Alligator mississippiensis: one gene and its partner. The protein of the gene in region 2 interacts with the protein of the main gene of each other region in a biochemical or structural test. Links are inferred from orthologs where the notes say so. Each region holds a gene or a part of one and is shown on either strand. Other genes may lie near its edges.

Evidence for each region. The genes of interacting proteins can lie anywhere in the genome.
Region 1: the proteins of GTF2E1 (region 2) and GTF2B form a complex in vitro, tested with the Homo sapiens proteins (2 studies listed by BioGRID). The link is inferred for Alligator mississippiensis from reciprocal best matches to the Homo sapiens genes GTF2E1 and GTF2B.

Annotation. Positions count from the first base shown.
Region 1 is NC_081828.1:30,984,489-30,992,235, reverse strand, and holds the start of GTF2B (transcription initiation factor IIB), read left to right. Parts: upstream 1-4,659; 5' UTR 4,660-4,740; coding exon 4,741-4,757; intron 4,758-6,808; coding exon 6,809-6,915; intron 6,916-7,747. UniProt on the Homo sapiens protein: General transcription factor that plays a role in transcription initiation by RNA polymerase II (Pol II). Involved in the pre-initiation complex (PIC) formation and Pol II recruitment at promoter DNA.
Region 2 is NC_081824.1:253,467,840-253,475,038, forward strand, and holds the start of GTF2E1 (general transcription factor IIE subunit 1), read left to right. Parts: upstream 1-4,110; 5' UTR 4,111-4,228; intron 4,229-7,199. Other genes in the region: RABL3 (rab-like protein 3), read right to left, coding at 595-686, 3,866-3,911.

The DNA.
Region 1 (7,747 bases), on a different chromosome or scaffold from region 2:
GCTCCTGCCATTCATGTACAGGCACACAAGTGTCCCCTTGGGGGCCCTAGCCTTGCCCACAGATTGTTCCAGGGCTGGAGCAGGGGTGGGCTCCCTTAAGCGCCTTGGCCTGATGGCTTTGCAAGGGCTGCCCAGGGGGCCAGCAGTGGTGGTAGTACCCCCACCCCCCGGTGGGATTAGTTTAAAGCCCGGTGGAGCAGGTCAGCCAGTCTGGCTGAGAAGAGCCTCCTCCCCAGCGGAGAGGTAGAGGCCATCCCTTCCCAGCAGCTCACTGCCTCTCTCACCAGAGCGGACTGTGGTCATGGAAGCCGAAGCCTTCCTGATAACACCAGTGCCGCAATCTTTGGTTCACTACTTGGATCCCCCTCCCCCTCCTCAGCTCATAGCCCGAAACCAGAAGGATCAAGGAAAACACCACCTGCACCCCCAACCCCTTAAATCCCATTCCCAAATCCCTGTAGTGCTTCATGACCCAGCTGGGAGTGTTCGGAGCTGTGTCAGTGGTACCCACATGGATGAGGAGCATAGGGTAGTGGTCAGTGGGCCAGAGGAGCTTAGGGATCTTCTCCACAATGTCTCGGATAGAGGCTTCTCTATCTGGGAAGCAGCAGACTTCATGGGCCAAGGGATCAGGGCGGCAGATTGCCCCCTTAGTCCCGCTCAGGATGGAGTCTCCCATGACAAACACTTTGCATTTTGTCTTGGGGAGAGCGGGGGCGGTAGCTACAGTTGAGCCTGTGTTGCCTGCTGGGGCTGCAAGAGGTTCATACCTGTTGCAAAGCTCCAGTGGGGCAGAGACCTTGGTGCAGCAGGCCTTGGGGCCCTTGACCACCTTCGTCCATCCCCGTGGCTGGACAGAAGGGGAGGTCCCGGTGTCCTCCCTTGTCCTGAAGGGTGACTGTGGTCTACCCTTCGCCTCCTGGGGGAGAAGGGCCTGGCAGTACGAATTGATCTCCTGCTCACAGTCCCTGATGGCACACAGTCTCTGGACTGCAGCCTGGAGCTCCTCCAGCTGCGTACCATAGACCCCAAAAGGAAGCATACCCCACAATGAGGGCTGGCCATGCTTCCAGACCCCAGAGCCTGAAAAAGTGACAGGCAGCCTAGAGCCAGGGGCTCCGTCTGCATGGAGCCCGGAACCATGGGTTCAGTCTGGGTAGAGACCTCTGAGGAGCCAGGGAGCAGGGGCCGCAGACCCTGAGGGGACCCTCGGGGTGCTGCGTGTGACCATCTGCAGTATGCTGCTGGTAGGCCGGCTACGGTTGGGAATGCCTATCCTAGCAGGCTCACAGGCAGGGCCTCGGGCCCTCCTGCTCGCCCTCCTGCGCAAACTCTGAGCTAACTTGTGCACCGGGCAGACAAGCGTGCCTGTTTGCACGGCCTGTTCGTGAGGCTCCGGTCACATGACTCCCTGGGGGGCTAGGCGAAGTAAGGGCCGGGGCGGGGTGAGGCCCTCCTTGGCTCCTAATTAGTCGCCTCCCCACAGCTGAGCTGAGCTATTCCCCTCCCACCACGGGCCCTGCCTGCCTTCGGCTGCTGCTGGGGGGTGGTGGGGGCGCTCCACACCTGTTGGGGGTTGCTGGGGGGCTTCGAAGTGTGGGGGTGCAACAGGCTTTCACCTGTGTGTCTTGCGCCGCCCCCTAAGCCTCTCTTGTTTAGGATGGTTTGGATAGGGATGATCCTGCTTCAGGCAGGGGGTTGAACAGCCACTAGGTGATCTCTGGAAGTTCTTTCCAAACCAGGGGCAGACAAAATATGGCCCACAGGCCAGATCCAGCCCTCTGAGCACTTTCATCTGTCCTGCGGGGCCCCCTAAGAAATTGTGCTGTGCCCAGCCCTTCTGTCCATAAGGGCGGGGAGTGAGGCGTTCACGTGTACATGCAGCCCCAAAAATGTACCCTATTGCCTGGCTCCCACCCTCATGGGCAGAAGGGCCTGGACAACCAGCATGCAGCTTCAGTGCAAGGGTGCTGCTGCCACTGCTGCAGCCCCCAGGGACCTGCTCTGCTTCTCCAGTCTCCTGCTTGCTCCAGGCAACAGACTGGGAAGCAGTAGAGGTGGGGCTACAGCTGGGTGGGAGCGTGGGGTTGGGGCTGGTAGCAGTGCAGAGCCTGTGCCCAGGGGGATGGGGCGGCGGCAGCGTGGAGCTTGGGTGGGCAGTATGAGGGAGAGTGGGGGGTGTGTGGGGACCCCTCCACATTCCCCCCACACTCCTGCCCTCCCCCATGGCATGCAGCCCCTGCAGGCGGTGGCAGCAGCAGCGGGGGGGGTGGTGCTTAGGGTGCAGGCACCTGGTGGGATGCAGCTGCGGCCAGAGCTGCACATTGCAGCGAGGGGTGCAGTCTCCGCTGGGCCACCTGTATTGCTGGTGTGCCCCACCACATGCACAGCAGTGAAGGAAGCCCAGCGTGCTGGAGCCAGCTGCCTTCCCTGCCGGGGCTGCGTAGCACCAGAGGGAAGCCTCAAGCACTGGAGCCAGTTGCCTTCCCTTCAGGGGCCACATTACAGGGGAGGGAAAACTGCTTCCCCACCTACTGCTGCACCATACGGGGAGTCCCCCCAACCTTCCCTCACATCCACACCCTGCCCCCACATATACATAACCCCCCAACACACGTACCTACATCCTACCACAAACCCACACCCCACCATACACACCCATACTACACATACCCACCCTACCATACAACTTCCCCCCACAATATATAAGACTAAGAATTTATTTTTGAGTTATTATGCAGTCACCACTACACAAACACAAAACATGACAAAAATATTTTTTGTAATAAAATTAAAATAAGTTATAGTAGGTGTTTGACTTTTAGTGTATGATTTAGTTTTTTTCTGGTTCTAAGATGGCAAACCTCCCCTCTCAAAAGGAGTATTTCTGGGGGCAAGGGAAGGGACTTCTGGTGGCAAAGGTCAGGGGTTAAGGTTGGGACTTCTGGTCCCAAGATGGCAACAAGGGAATGGGGCAACCGTCAAAGGCCAGGACTACCCATGTGGCCCTTGATAGCTCACCAAAACTTGTTGAGTGGCCCTCCACCCGAAATAATTACCCAGCTCTGTTGCAGACCAACTTCTGTTATTTTTGAAAGAAAATAAATGCAAACTATTATTAAAGTACGGTGTCAAGATTTTTATACAGCATTAATTTAATATCCAATTGGGTTTTTCTTTAAAAAGGGGTGATTTTTCTAAATTTTAAATGCTGGTTACATTGAATCTTTAATCAGGGCAATCCACTTTACATTTGTTTTTCAAAATCTACCTAGGTTGAAATAATAGATAAATGAGGCTTCAGAGAGTCTAGTGATAAATTTAATGTATTTATTAGATTTGTACCCCCATTCAAAAAATCTGGATTTGTGAAATTCTGTTCTTTAATGCAGATTTTACTGTTTTCTGTGGAATGCAAGCTTTGCTTTCCTTTATAAAAATCAAGTCCTCGTTCCTTTCTATGCCAAGGGAAGAGATCTGTGAATCAATGTAGCAATGCTTTATTAAAGTAATCAACAAAAGCAATGGATAAAAGGCCTAGCAAAGTGGGAGGCGTCTCTATTTGGTGTTAGTTCAGAGAAATAATCTGCATTTTAACAAGTGTGAAGGGTTTTTGGTCCTGCTAAACTACCTCAATTTGAGGTAATACAATTGAAAATACTCCTTTTTGCCAATCAAGACAGTGCCCAGTCCTAACAAGTTAAGAACATCACACCAAGTCATTTTGAAATCTTCCTACAACTCCTCCTTGGTTACTGCAGGGACCTGCACTTCTGCCTGCACCCTAAAGGTGCTTTACCCACTTTTTAGATTTATTCCCTTCCTGTTTCCTCCTCCTCGTTCTGTCCTTTTATGGTTGGTGAAAAGGACTGTACCACTGCCCCTAATCAATCAGGGACCTTATATAAAAAACAGTAGTTTTGTTTGTTTGTTTTTCCCAGGGCCTTAAAAACTTGGGCCAAATAGCTTTGTGGAACTATTCCATGTCTGGACACTTGGTAATAAGTAGGGCAGAGTGGCACGATAGAGACCATATGGTTTAGAGGCTGGTTTCACAAGGGACAGCCTTTGTCCGGTGCTAGGAAAGGCTGTTTGCACAGGGCAAGCGTATGCCTCTCTGGACCAAAGACTGAAAGCGAAAACAGCAACTTGATTGGGAATCAAGACTGCATCAAACCCCAGACCTTCCAGGGCAAGCCATTAAGTACCTGCCAGTTAGCCGAGCTGATACTTTGCCTTAAAACCATCAGGGCAATTGGAGCGAATTGCCGTTTAAACCTGTGCAGATGGGACTCACATCCCGGCCCACTCCGTCCTGGATGAAACTGGCCGCGTGCTTCCGAGCGCACAATGCGGCGACGCCGGCTGCGGGCTCCCAGGGGAACGAAGTTCTTGTCTCGGGTCAAACCCGGGGAGCTCTTTTCAGCCTCGGTGTCCTACGTGCACCTCAAGGACCTTGAAGAATCCGAATACAAGCGCTAATTCGCAGTCGCTCCCATCCCGTCACCTGTCCTGATGCGACTCAAAACCCGCGGAACCAGCCCCTGATAAGCCCCGCCCCGCCTGGGGAGGACTGGGAGGCAAGGGTAGGCGCCAAGTAAGGGAGACAATCTTTTTGTCCCCGCTCGCAGCCCGTAGTGAACCCGGCAGGGCCCCGCCCCCAGGCCCGAGGGTATATAAGGAGGTGCGCGATGGCTGTATTTGCTCCTGCGCAGACGTTGCAGCGGAGGAGGAAGCAACATGGCGTCTACTAGCCGGTGAGGCGGGGGCGGGGGCCGCGCCGCTGCCCTTGGTGGTGTAGGGGAGGCCGAGCGTCGTGGGCTGCGGCCGTGCGGGTCCTCCGGGGCCGGGAGGGGAGCCGCAGGTGGAGGCGGCCGGGGCCGGGGCCAGAGCTGGGCGCACTAGTGGCGGCCTCCTTTGTTCCCTGACCGTTCTCTGCAGCCCCGTGGCGGTGGGAGCGGTTGGGCCCCGGCCGGCCGGACGTGGTCGGGCCGCCTTCCTGCCGCCGCTGCTCGCTGGGGCGGGCCCGGCGCTCCTGCCTGGGCCTGGCTGGAGCAGGCCGCGGCCTGCGCCCGTGTCGGTTCCTCTCCGGCGCTGCCAGCGGATCTGGTGCTTGACCCGGTCCCTTCCGCGCCGGGAAGGGGCTCGTTCCTCCAGCTCGGCGGTCAAGGCGGACTTCTCGGGCGCTGCCGGAGGAATCTTCTTTAGGCCGAGTTTTGCGGCGCTTTTATCACAGCGCTAAGTGACCCGGCGACGGCTACGGCTGGCCGAGTGCTTCAGCCTGCGTATGAGGACACGCAGGACTCCAGATAGGTGGTCTAGGAGCCGTGCTGGCGTAGGTGTGGGAAAACGGGCATCCTCTAAGCTGTCAGACACCACTGCACAAAATGAAACCGTGCCTGCCCTTGACTTCTGTAAAGCTTGTGGCTTTACTTCTCTTTTCATTTACAATGCCAACGGCCTCTTGTGTAATGACAAATTATCAACTGGTTGCTTGTGATGCTTTGTCATTTAGTCTGGCCATCTGAAACATTAGCAGCCTAGAGTATGGTGGGGAAAGCAGTTGTTTTACCAGGCCTTTACACAAGGTTTTCAAGAAGCAGCTAGAAAAAAAAATCTTTGTATTTTTTTAATATGTAAATGACTGTTTGTAGCTTTAATGTTTACTTTCTACATTTAAGAAATAATTAGTAGTTGGAGTATTGTGGTAGTAGTTTGCCTAGTACTGATAAGAAAGCCACTTATTTTTCTGACCAAATCTCTCTGTTTTGATGAGTTGCTGCCCTTCATTTTAGTAGATGGCACCTATAGCTTTAATGAATTGAAGAATCCAAGTAAAAAAAAAGTTACTATACCAACTGAATGTAGTCAGGTTGTGAGGTTTTAAGATGATCACATTTTCTAGGGTCCATATACTGTCAACAGTGTTTTTTATAGGGTATCTACTTGTAAAATGTTTAGTGAAAATATTTTCCCATAGTAGGATTTGATCAGTGCTTAATGTCAATATGTACTTTTATCTGTGTTAGCAAGATTATAGCTTTGAAATCCTGTGTAAACTGCAAGTGAATTTGGGGCACTCCAAATGCTTTCTTACGTTGTAGTTAGCGCACATTTTGTATATTGTCTGACACTGATACTTTGTAGCTGTTTTTGCCTTGTATTAACATTTTGTTGCAGCTGGATTATTTTTCCTATTATATATTCAGTTACATTTATTTTGGTTTTTAATATATTTGTATGAAGGCAGAAACAGTCCTGAAACAGGACTTTAGTTCATCCCATTATCCTAGTCACCCATTTCCTAATCCCTTTTATAAACTGGTGATTTTGTTTCTGCTTTGAGATTGCTAACATTTGTTTAAAGGTAGTTTTTTCTTTAAATATTTCATATGATGTGGCAATGGTATTGTCCTGTAAGCAGAAATATTTTTTTTTGTTTTCTAAAACATTGTGGGCAGTGAACATTTTATTTGAAAGACACGTAGATTTTAGATCACAAAATGTGTCTCAGTCTTAATTTCTTCCAGGTCTTAGGCTACCAAATGTTTCTTATGTATACTAACTACAGCCCTGGATATCATCCAGTCGTATCATTTACACATTTTTTTTTTTTATTTATTACTCAGCTCATTTGTGATGCAGATTAAAAATGGTATCAATGGGGTATGGTTTGAAGGGTTTTTTTCTTGCACTATCACTGAAATAGAGGTTTCCTGTTAGATGTGAATAGTCTTTGGAAACACAGACGTTGATTAAAGTTTGTCGGCAGATAAAATATCTAAATATTTTTCTTTGTTTTTTTTAGTTTGGATGTTCTTCCAAGAGTAACTTGCCCAAACCATCCAGATTCAATTTTAGTAGAGGATTACAGAGCTGGAGACATGATATGTTCAGAATGTGGACTAGTAGTAGGTAAGTAATCATTCAGGTTATTGCAGTTCCCTTTCAAAAAATGAAGACTTATTTGTTTTTACTTAACTTTTGTGTGCATAAGACATTAATAAATTAGAAGTCCTTATTGCAGAAGTGTTTTCCCTTAGCTAAAAATCTACCATTTTAAGTAGGTGTTTTTTCTGGTAATACATTATATTGTTAAACCAATCTTTTGTATAAAGGGTCTGTTGTTGACTAGAAGCCCACATTATGAAGAAGAAAGTTGACTGCTGCTCTTGAAACCTCTGACCTTTGTGGTACTAGAGGTTGACCATGTTATGTTTTAGGGTCATATTATGTAACCTGGGCACAGTTGAAGACTTGACTGTACTACGAGGCACAGCCATGACAGTAGGGTGTACATTGAGATGCATTAATGGAAATGAAATATTGAGCAAGGGGTCTGACTTTTAAATCTTGGGCTTCACCTTGCTAAGAGATAGAGCTAAAGACATTAGGCTAGTGGATATCCTTCAAAATATTTTGAAGCCTTTAGTACAAAGAAACATAGGAATTGCCATATTCAGTTAGGGACCATTGTGGGAAGCCTAGACCAGAATCCTGTCTCTACCAGTAACTGGCACCAGTTATTTCAGAGGAGGTGCAAGAAACGGGCCACAAGACACTTCAGGGAATAATCTGCTCACAAGGAAGGTCTAACTCAGTGATTCTCAACCAGGGTGCCATGAGATTCTCAAGTGTGGCCAAGATGCCTGTGCAAACGTGATTTACCAGATAAACCCAGGCATATTAAATAATGATAAAAGCATTCCGACCTGTTGTAGTACTTCGGAATTCTTTGCAACAGAAG
Region 2 (7,199 bases):
AATGGTCTCCCAAGGAATTGTGAATTCAGTTTATTCATCCTCTGATTCAGAATTGACCACTTACCAAAAAGTAATAAGGATAATATCCTAGTGAGTATATATTAACTGTCACTGTGCTGTGATGCTTTGAAAGACAGATGTATCTTGGCTTCTGTAGCTGGTGACATTGTAAAGCTTAATTTGTGTAAGTAAAAATATTCAGTCTAGAGTAATAATATTTTTTTCTTAGCACTTTTCCCCCAAAGGATTCTAAAGTTTAACAGCAATGAAATGAACCTGACTTTGGGGTGGAGAGGGTCTGTCAGCTCATCACAGATAAATGAAAGAAGAGGAAATTTTACCTAAGGATGTTAGCTAAATTAAGCTATTCTTTAAGAAAACACCAGTGGTCATTTAATATTCATGAAAAATACCCAAGACTTTGGTATTTAAAAATATCATTCAAAAGACCACTCAAAACTTAATTATAGACATCTGAAAAGTGAAGGCCCAAACTAGTTCTGAATCAGATTTAAACTTGTGACCCAGAAAGCAGTGACCACAACATCAGAAATAACAACAGGAACAACACTGCAAGTCCAGAAGTTCACTTACTCGCACATCCACTGAGCAGCCCACAGTCCAAGATGGATTTCCCAACACCTGATTTTGGCACAACAGATGAACAAGTGAAGATTTCCCAACACCTGAAAGCAAACATATATTTAATTTGCATGATAGACAACACAGATCCTTACATTTGCCATTAACACCATATTTTTTGTAGGGGTGCACAGATATATTGGTCCGATATCGGATTGGTACCGATATAAAGAAAATTGGCTGTATCGGAAATCGGCCCGATGCAGCTGATAATTTGGTCGATAAATGCCAATGTGTGTGTGTAGCTGCAGCGCAGCACTCAGGCAACAAGGAGCACAGCGCAGCAGCATGGAGAGCTGCCTCCAGCTGGTAAGTTTCTTGTGGTGGAAGGGGCATTGGGGGGGGGGGGGGGGGGCGGGTGTTCTGCCACCACCACACACCTGGCACAGCCCTGGCTCAATGCCCAGCCTCCACCCATGTGCTGGGAAGGGCCGGGGCTGCACCAGGTGTGCGGTGGCACTGGGAGGGGGCTAAAGCGAAATTTGGGGTGGCTGTAGCCCCCTCCATAGCTCCCAACCCAAGCCCAGCCCTCGGTGAGAAGAGCCCAGAACAGCCTCAACTCCTGCCCGCAGGTGCAGTCCATCTGCCCTGCCCCATGCAGACCCAGGGGGCACAGGCTCCACCCCTCCGTGCCCTCCCAGGGTGCACACAGCAGTGGGAGCACCCCCCCAACAAGCCATGGCTCTGCCCCATGCCCTGTCCCAGCTGGGCAGAGGCTGCCCCTGCCCCCTCCCTCACCATGGGCATTGATCTGCACCCCCCACGCCCCTTCCCTCCCCTGCTCCCCTTCCACCACAACAGACTTACCAGCCGGAGGCAACTCTCTACACCGTATAGGAAATCTAATTGGTATTGGCTGATATGCCTCCTTAAAAATTGGATATTGGTATCGGACCCAGAAATCTCTATCGATGCACCCCTAACTTTTTGGTATGCCGTTACTAACATACCAAAAAATGGCACTACAATAATTAGTGGGTTCAAGCGATACTATTAAACCCAACATTTAAATGAATGTTCCAGCATGCAATTGCCTTAAAGAAGGTACTGATGATGGGTATGTGAGAAATACAAAAAGAGCTAACAGCATGCTGACTTTAGTTGGAAGGGTTGTATGAGGCCCATCATTTACAGAACATAAGAACTATCATTTACTGGTCAGCCCATACATCTATCTTGCCCAGTATCCTGTGTTACACAGCAAGGACTGCAGAGCCTCTTTCCTGTCCCTGGTCCAATCTCATCTCCAGGCAGAGTATCGCTGGGTACTGTCCACTGGAGCCTTGGACTTGTTTGAAGGCCAGTGGGCACTGTCTGGTGTGCTCTGCTGGGTGTCCCTCTTTGGCACACTAGCTTTAAACCTTTGATCTCACTCCTATCCCTGTTATGTCTTTAGTTGTCCCCAAAAAACAGTTGTTGCCTACCTACTGGCCTTCCTCTCTAAGGGACGCTTACAGTGTTTCTTTGAGGGTACTGCCCCATGTTCCCTAGGCAACAAGTAAGCTTGTTACACAGCAGGGATGGCAGAGTGACTTTCCTGTCCCTAGTGCAATCCCATCTCCAGGCAGAATATCACTAGGCAGTGCCCACTGGCTCCTTGGACTTGTCTGAGGGCCAATGGGTATTGTCCGGTATGCTCTGCTCAGTGTCCCCCCTTGCCACACTAGTTATTAACCTTTGACCACTCTCATTCCTGTTGTCTTTAGTTGTCCCAAGCAATTAGGTGCTGCCTTTCCAGTAGACTCTACGTTTAAGGGAGGCTAATAGTTTATTTGGTGGGAAATGCCCCATGTATCTTCTAAGGCAGCAAATAGACCTTTGTCACATAGGCAGAGGGGAGGCTGAAAGGGAGAGTGAACAAGGTGTGACTAGGGGTTTTCCCATCGCTCTCTGCTACTTGCGTCCTCCACCATTTAGGTTGTATGTCTTATTAAGTTGAAACATGGCTTATCCACCGTTATGACTGCTGCATCTAGTTTGGGGCACTACACAGGAAGAAAAGCACAGCTGAATTGCAAGGACCATGCAAGACAACTAAAGAAGTAAGTGGGCTGGCAAGGACTAAACGAGAGAAGAGTGGCAAGATGAGGGCAAGCCCCTTCAAGGAGCTGTTTTGCTGAGAGGAGGAGATGGTGACAGGTTACCCCTGAAGTATCTAAAGCCATGGCCCTCAACCTTCCCAGGCTCAAGGCCTCCCAGGAAAATGACAGCATTCAGGTCTCGCTCAATTTTGGGAAAAAAAGGAATACACAGAGGTTGTTTTAAACTGCAAGACAGAAGAGGGCGAAAACTAGATTCTACTACGCTCCTGCTTTGGATCATGTTTAAGTAGAAATGCTATCATTTCTAGCATTTAAGCTCCTTAAAGAAGTACACAACAGATCCCTTCTCCTAATGTTTCATACCAAACTGTCTCTTAATACCAGAGCTTCTGGATCAAATACAAAGGTTAGGGAAATGTCAAGTTATATCCTGTCTTTTTTAACTCTCCATTTAGGTATCATTTTAGTGCATGACTTAACCAACAAAAAGTCCTCTCAAAACTTGTATCGCTGGTCACTGGAAGCCCTCAACGGGGATGTGGCTCCAATGGGAGTTCTTGTGACAAACAGGTGAGTGTACAAACACACACACAGCCCTAAATATGCACGTGGGGTCATTGTTCATCTCTGGTCATTGCTCAGAGCACTCACAGAAGTGCCGTTTCTGTTGCACGTGTGGAGCAGGCCTGGCTGTTGCTGGGCTCTCCAGGAGTTTGACAGTGGCCTGGGTTTAGAAGAACATGTCCACGTGCTTGTCATGCCATGCTTCTCAGGCCGCAGGAAAATGACTTCACTCCCTGGTGCCCCAAAGGAGAGGTCGGCAACCTATGGCCCACAGACTTCGTCAGTCTTGCATAGGCCCAGTCCTCCAGAGCATGGGGGATGGGTTCCCGAACGAGGCTGAGCTAACTAGAGCCCGCCCCCCCCCCCCCCCGGGGGGGAGGTCCACAAAGAGGCCCAGAGCCACCTAGAGCGCCCCTCGCCCAGCGCCCCGCCCCCGCATCTACGCCCCGAGCGTGAATCGCAGCTATGGGTTCTACACCAGCTCCGCCCCCTGCTCACGTCACCGTGTGCGTCACTGCGCCCCCCTCCCCCGCCACCAATGCCCGGCGCGGGGGAGAAGGGTCCGGTACCTGCGCAGGCCTAGGGTGATAACGGGAACTCCCCCCCCAACTACTCACCGGAATCCCCCAGCACCAGCACCTTGACCCTGTCCAAAGCAGCCATCTTAGCCTGCCTAGCAACAGCCACTCAGCACGCCGCCCAATTGCGAGCTAACTCTCCACCCATTGGCTCCGCCTCTTCCGCTTTCCATTCGCCGAGGCGGGGAGGGGGCGGGATCAAAGGTGGCTATCACAGATAGCGATTGGTTCCCTCCTCCTGTCCACCCAGGATGGCGGGTGGGCGGACCTCTCCCTCTACCGTTGGCGTGCCGAATAGGCGCTTGCGTCACAGCCGTGCGACACCGCCCGCGTGCGCGGCTAGGAATTTGTGACGTGCATTGCCGGAGACGGGGGGCGCCAAGCACCACCCGGAGCCGGCAGGTCAGTCCCGCGCGCGCGGCGCCAGGCTCTCCGCTCCCGGCCTCCTGCCAGCTACTGCGCAGGCGCACCCGGAGCTTGCCCCTCCCGCCGGGCAGCGGCGGGGTCGAGGTCCGGGTCCGGCATCACGTGCCTGGCGCATGGGCCTCCCCGGCGGGCCGCACGGACCGCCCACGTGGGCGCGGGGTGGTGTCCCTCGGGCCCGTCTCCCCAGCCGCTCGAGGGGGGCAGCTGAGGAGCCAGTGGGGGGCGGAGGGGAGCGTGTCCGTTGGCAGCTGTGGGGAGAGGGGCCGAGGCGGCGCGGAGTAGTTGGGCATCTGCCTGGCCCCCGCCCCCACGCACTCTGCTCTGTGCCAGCACTGCTCGTCTGGGCCACCGTTGCCCTGGGGTGCTGCTGCTCCCTGCACAGAAACCGGGAAGGAGCCTCAGGTCCAGCCTTGCAGCTAGGGCAATCCTGGAGGCTTTTATCTTATGCAGCAGGGGGCGCGAGAGGAGCCAAGGGCAGTCCTCCTGCACTGGCTGCGGGTGCATGGGGATATTGTCCTTCTGGTCATAGACAGTAGGTCATAGTTAAACCATGTGGGCTGGAAGGGACTTCAGTAGGTCATCTAGTCCAAAGTCCTGCTCAAAGCAGGACCAGCCCTAACTAGATCATCCCAGCCAAGGCTTTGTCGAGCTGGGTCTTAAAAACTTCTAAGGATGGAGCTTCTACCACCTCTATGGGGAACCTGTTCCAGCGCTTTGCCACCGTCCTACTGAGAAAATTCTTCCTAATAGCTAACCTGAACTTCCCTTGCTGCAACTTGAGACCATTGCTCCTTGTTCTGTTGTCTGCCTAATATCTAACCCAGCGGTTTTCAACCTTTTTTGTACCAGCACCCATTTGTAAACATTGATGGCCAGTCCTGACCCAGTGCCCCCAGGCCCAAGCTCCCCAGTGTGTAGGGCAATGGGGGGCCCCAAGCAGCTCCTCGCAGGCTGGATATCTGACAGCCTGCAAGGGAAAACCCAGCGTTTCCTACATTTGTCTCCGTTTTAAAAGTTTGTTGATCCGTTTTTAAAGTTTGTTTGCAACCCTTTCATATATTCTTGCAGCCCACTTTTGGATCGTCACCCACAGGTCGAGAAACACTGATCTAACCTAAACAATCAAGAGCAGTTACCTACAGCAGAGAATACACAGGCATGCTTGCTCCTGGGTTGTCAAGGTCTGAGGCCTCTTGGGATCCCTCTTGGTGGTCTGAGGCAAGCTCTGGCCTTCCATCCCTGTGCGTTTGTGTGGAGGAGATGTAGACCATTTAGGGTCAAATGTCTGTAATTGCTGCATAAGGATCTCTTGGCTAGTTGTGGCTTGGCTTGGCTTGGCTTTGTCAGCAGTGAGTGTGCATCTCTGCCTTGCGTGTCCAGGTTCCCTTGAAAATATCCCTCAACATCTGCCTTCTTACGTACTACTTGTAGCATCATAGGAAATAGGGGTTGGAAGGGACCTCAGGAGGTCATCTAGTCCAACTCCCTGCTCAAAGCAGGGCTAGGGTTGTCACAGGGGTAGGCAATGTTTTTTGGCCGGAGTACTGAAAAACACCACAATGCCTACCTCGGAAGGTGCCGGCGTGCTGGCATGGCAGAAAAACAAAATGAGGGTAAGGGGTACATGGCAGGATGCCCTGGTTGTGCCCCTTGCCCCCCTCACCCAAAGCCCCTGCCCCCCCAGCCCTGCTGCCCCTTGCCCCCCAGCCTGGGCTCTGTGGCTGCCAGCAGCTACCCTGGCTCTGGGTAGCTGCTGGAGCCCGGGCTGCTCCCAGCAGGGCTTGCAGTGTCCCAGATGTCTGCTGGGAGCAGCCTGGGCTCCTGACTGACAGCAGCTCCCCAGACCCGGGAGGCTCCAAACAGCTTGTGCCAGGCTTTGGCATCAGCTCCACACCAGCACTTGCACCTGCATGTCAGAGTGGGCGATGGGGGAGGAGCCTGAGGCAGCTCAGCCCTGGTCTCCCGCTCCCGGCACAGAGGTAATAGCAGGGTTCCAGAGCTCTGCGCAACTGTTTGTAGCCAGCCTGGGCTCTGGGCAGCTGCAGCAAGCAGCAGGCAGGCTGCAAACAGCTGCGCCGTGCTCTACAGCTCCGGCATTAGCTCCGTGCTGGCAGTGACTGCATGCAGATCTCGGGGTGGGCTGCACTGCCCCGCTGTCTGCCCTGAGGTGCATGTGTAGTCACCACCAGCACAGAGCTGATGCCAGAGCTGTAGAGCCTGGCGTAGCTGTTTGCAGCCTGCTTGCTGCAGCCGCCCAGAGCCTGGGCTGGCTACAAACAGCTGTGTCAAGCTCCGTGCCGAGAGTGGGGGAGAGACTGGGGCTGCACTGCCTCAGGCCCCTCCCACCGCCCACTCCGACGCGTGGGTGCACGCGCCAGTGCAAAGCTGATGCCAGAGCCCGGCACGGCTGTGGGGAGCTGCTGCCAGTCGGGAGACTGGGCTGCTCGCAGCAGGCAGCTGGGATGCTGCAGCCCTGCTGGGAGCAGCCTGGGCCGGAGCTGGGGCTGGCTGTGGTGTGCCATGCTTGGCATAAGTGCCAGGGGTTGCTGACCCCTGGGTTACCATATGTCCAGTTCCAAAAAAGAGGACACCTGTCAGGGGGACACCTCACTCCCCATCCACTGCCCCCTGGCCCTGCCAGTACCCCTCAATCCTGACCTACAGCCCCCAACCTTGCTGCTGACCCACAATTCCCTCCCCCACCCTCCTGGTCATGCCAGTGCTCTTCACACTCAACCCGTGACCCTTTGGTGCTGCCAGTGCCCCACAGCCAACCCAAAAGCCACCCTACCCTATGCTCTCACTTCCAAGCCACAGTGTCCCGTCCCGTCCTCTCCTGTTCCATTCCTCCCCCCACCCCCGGCCGCCCTGCTGGTTCCCCTCACTTCTGACCTGCAGCCCCCTGCTCCACCCAGCTTTGCTGGAAGGGTCCCCCACTGCCCCTGTC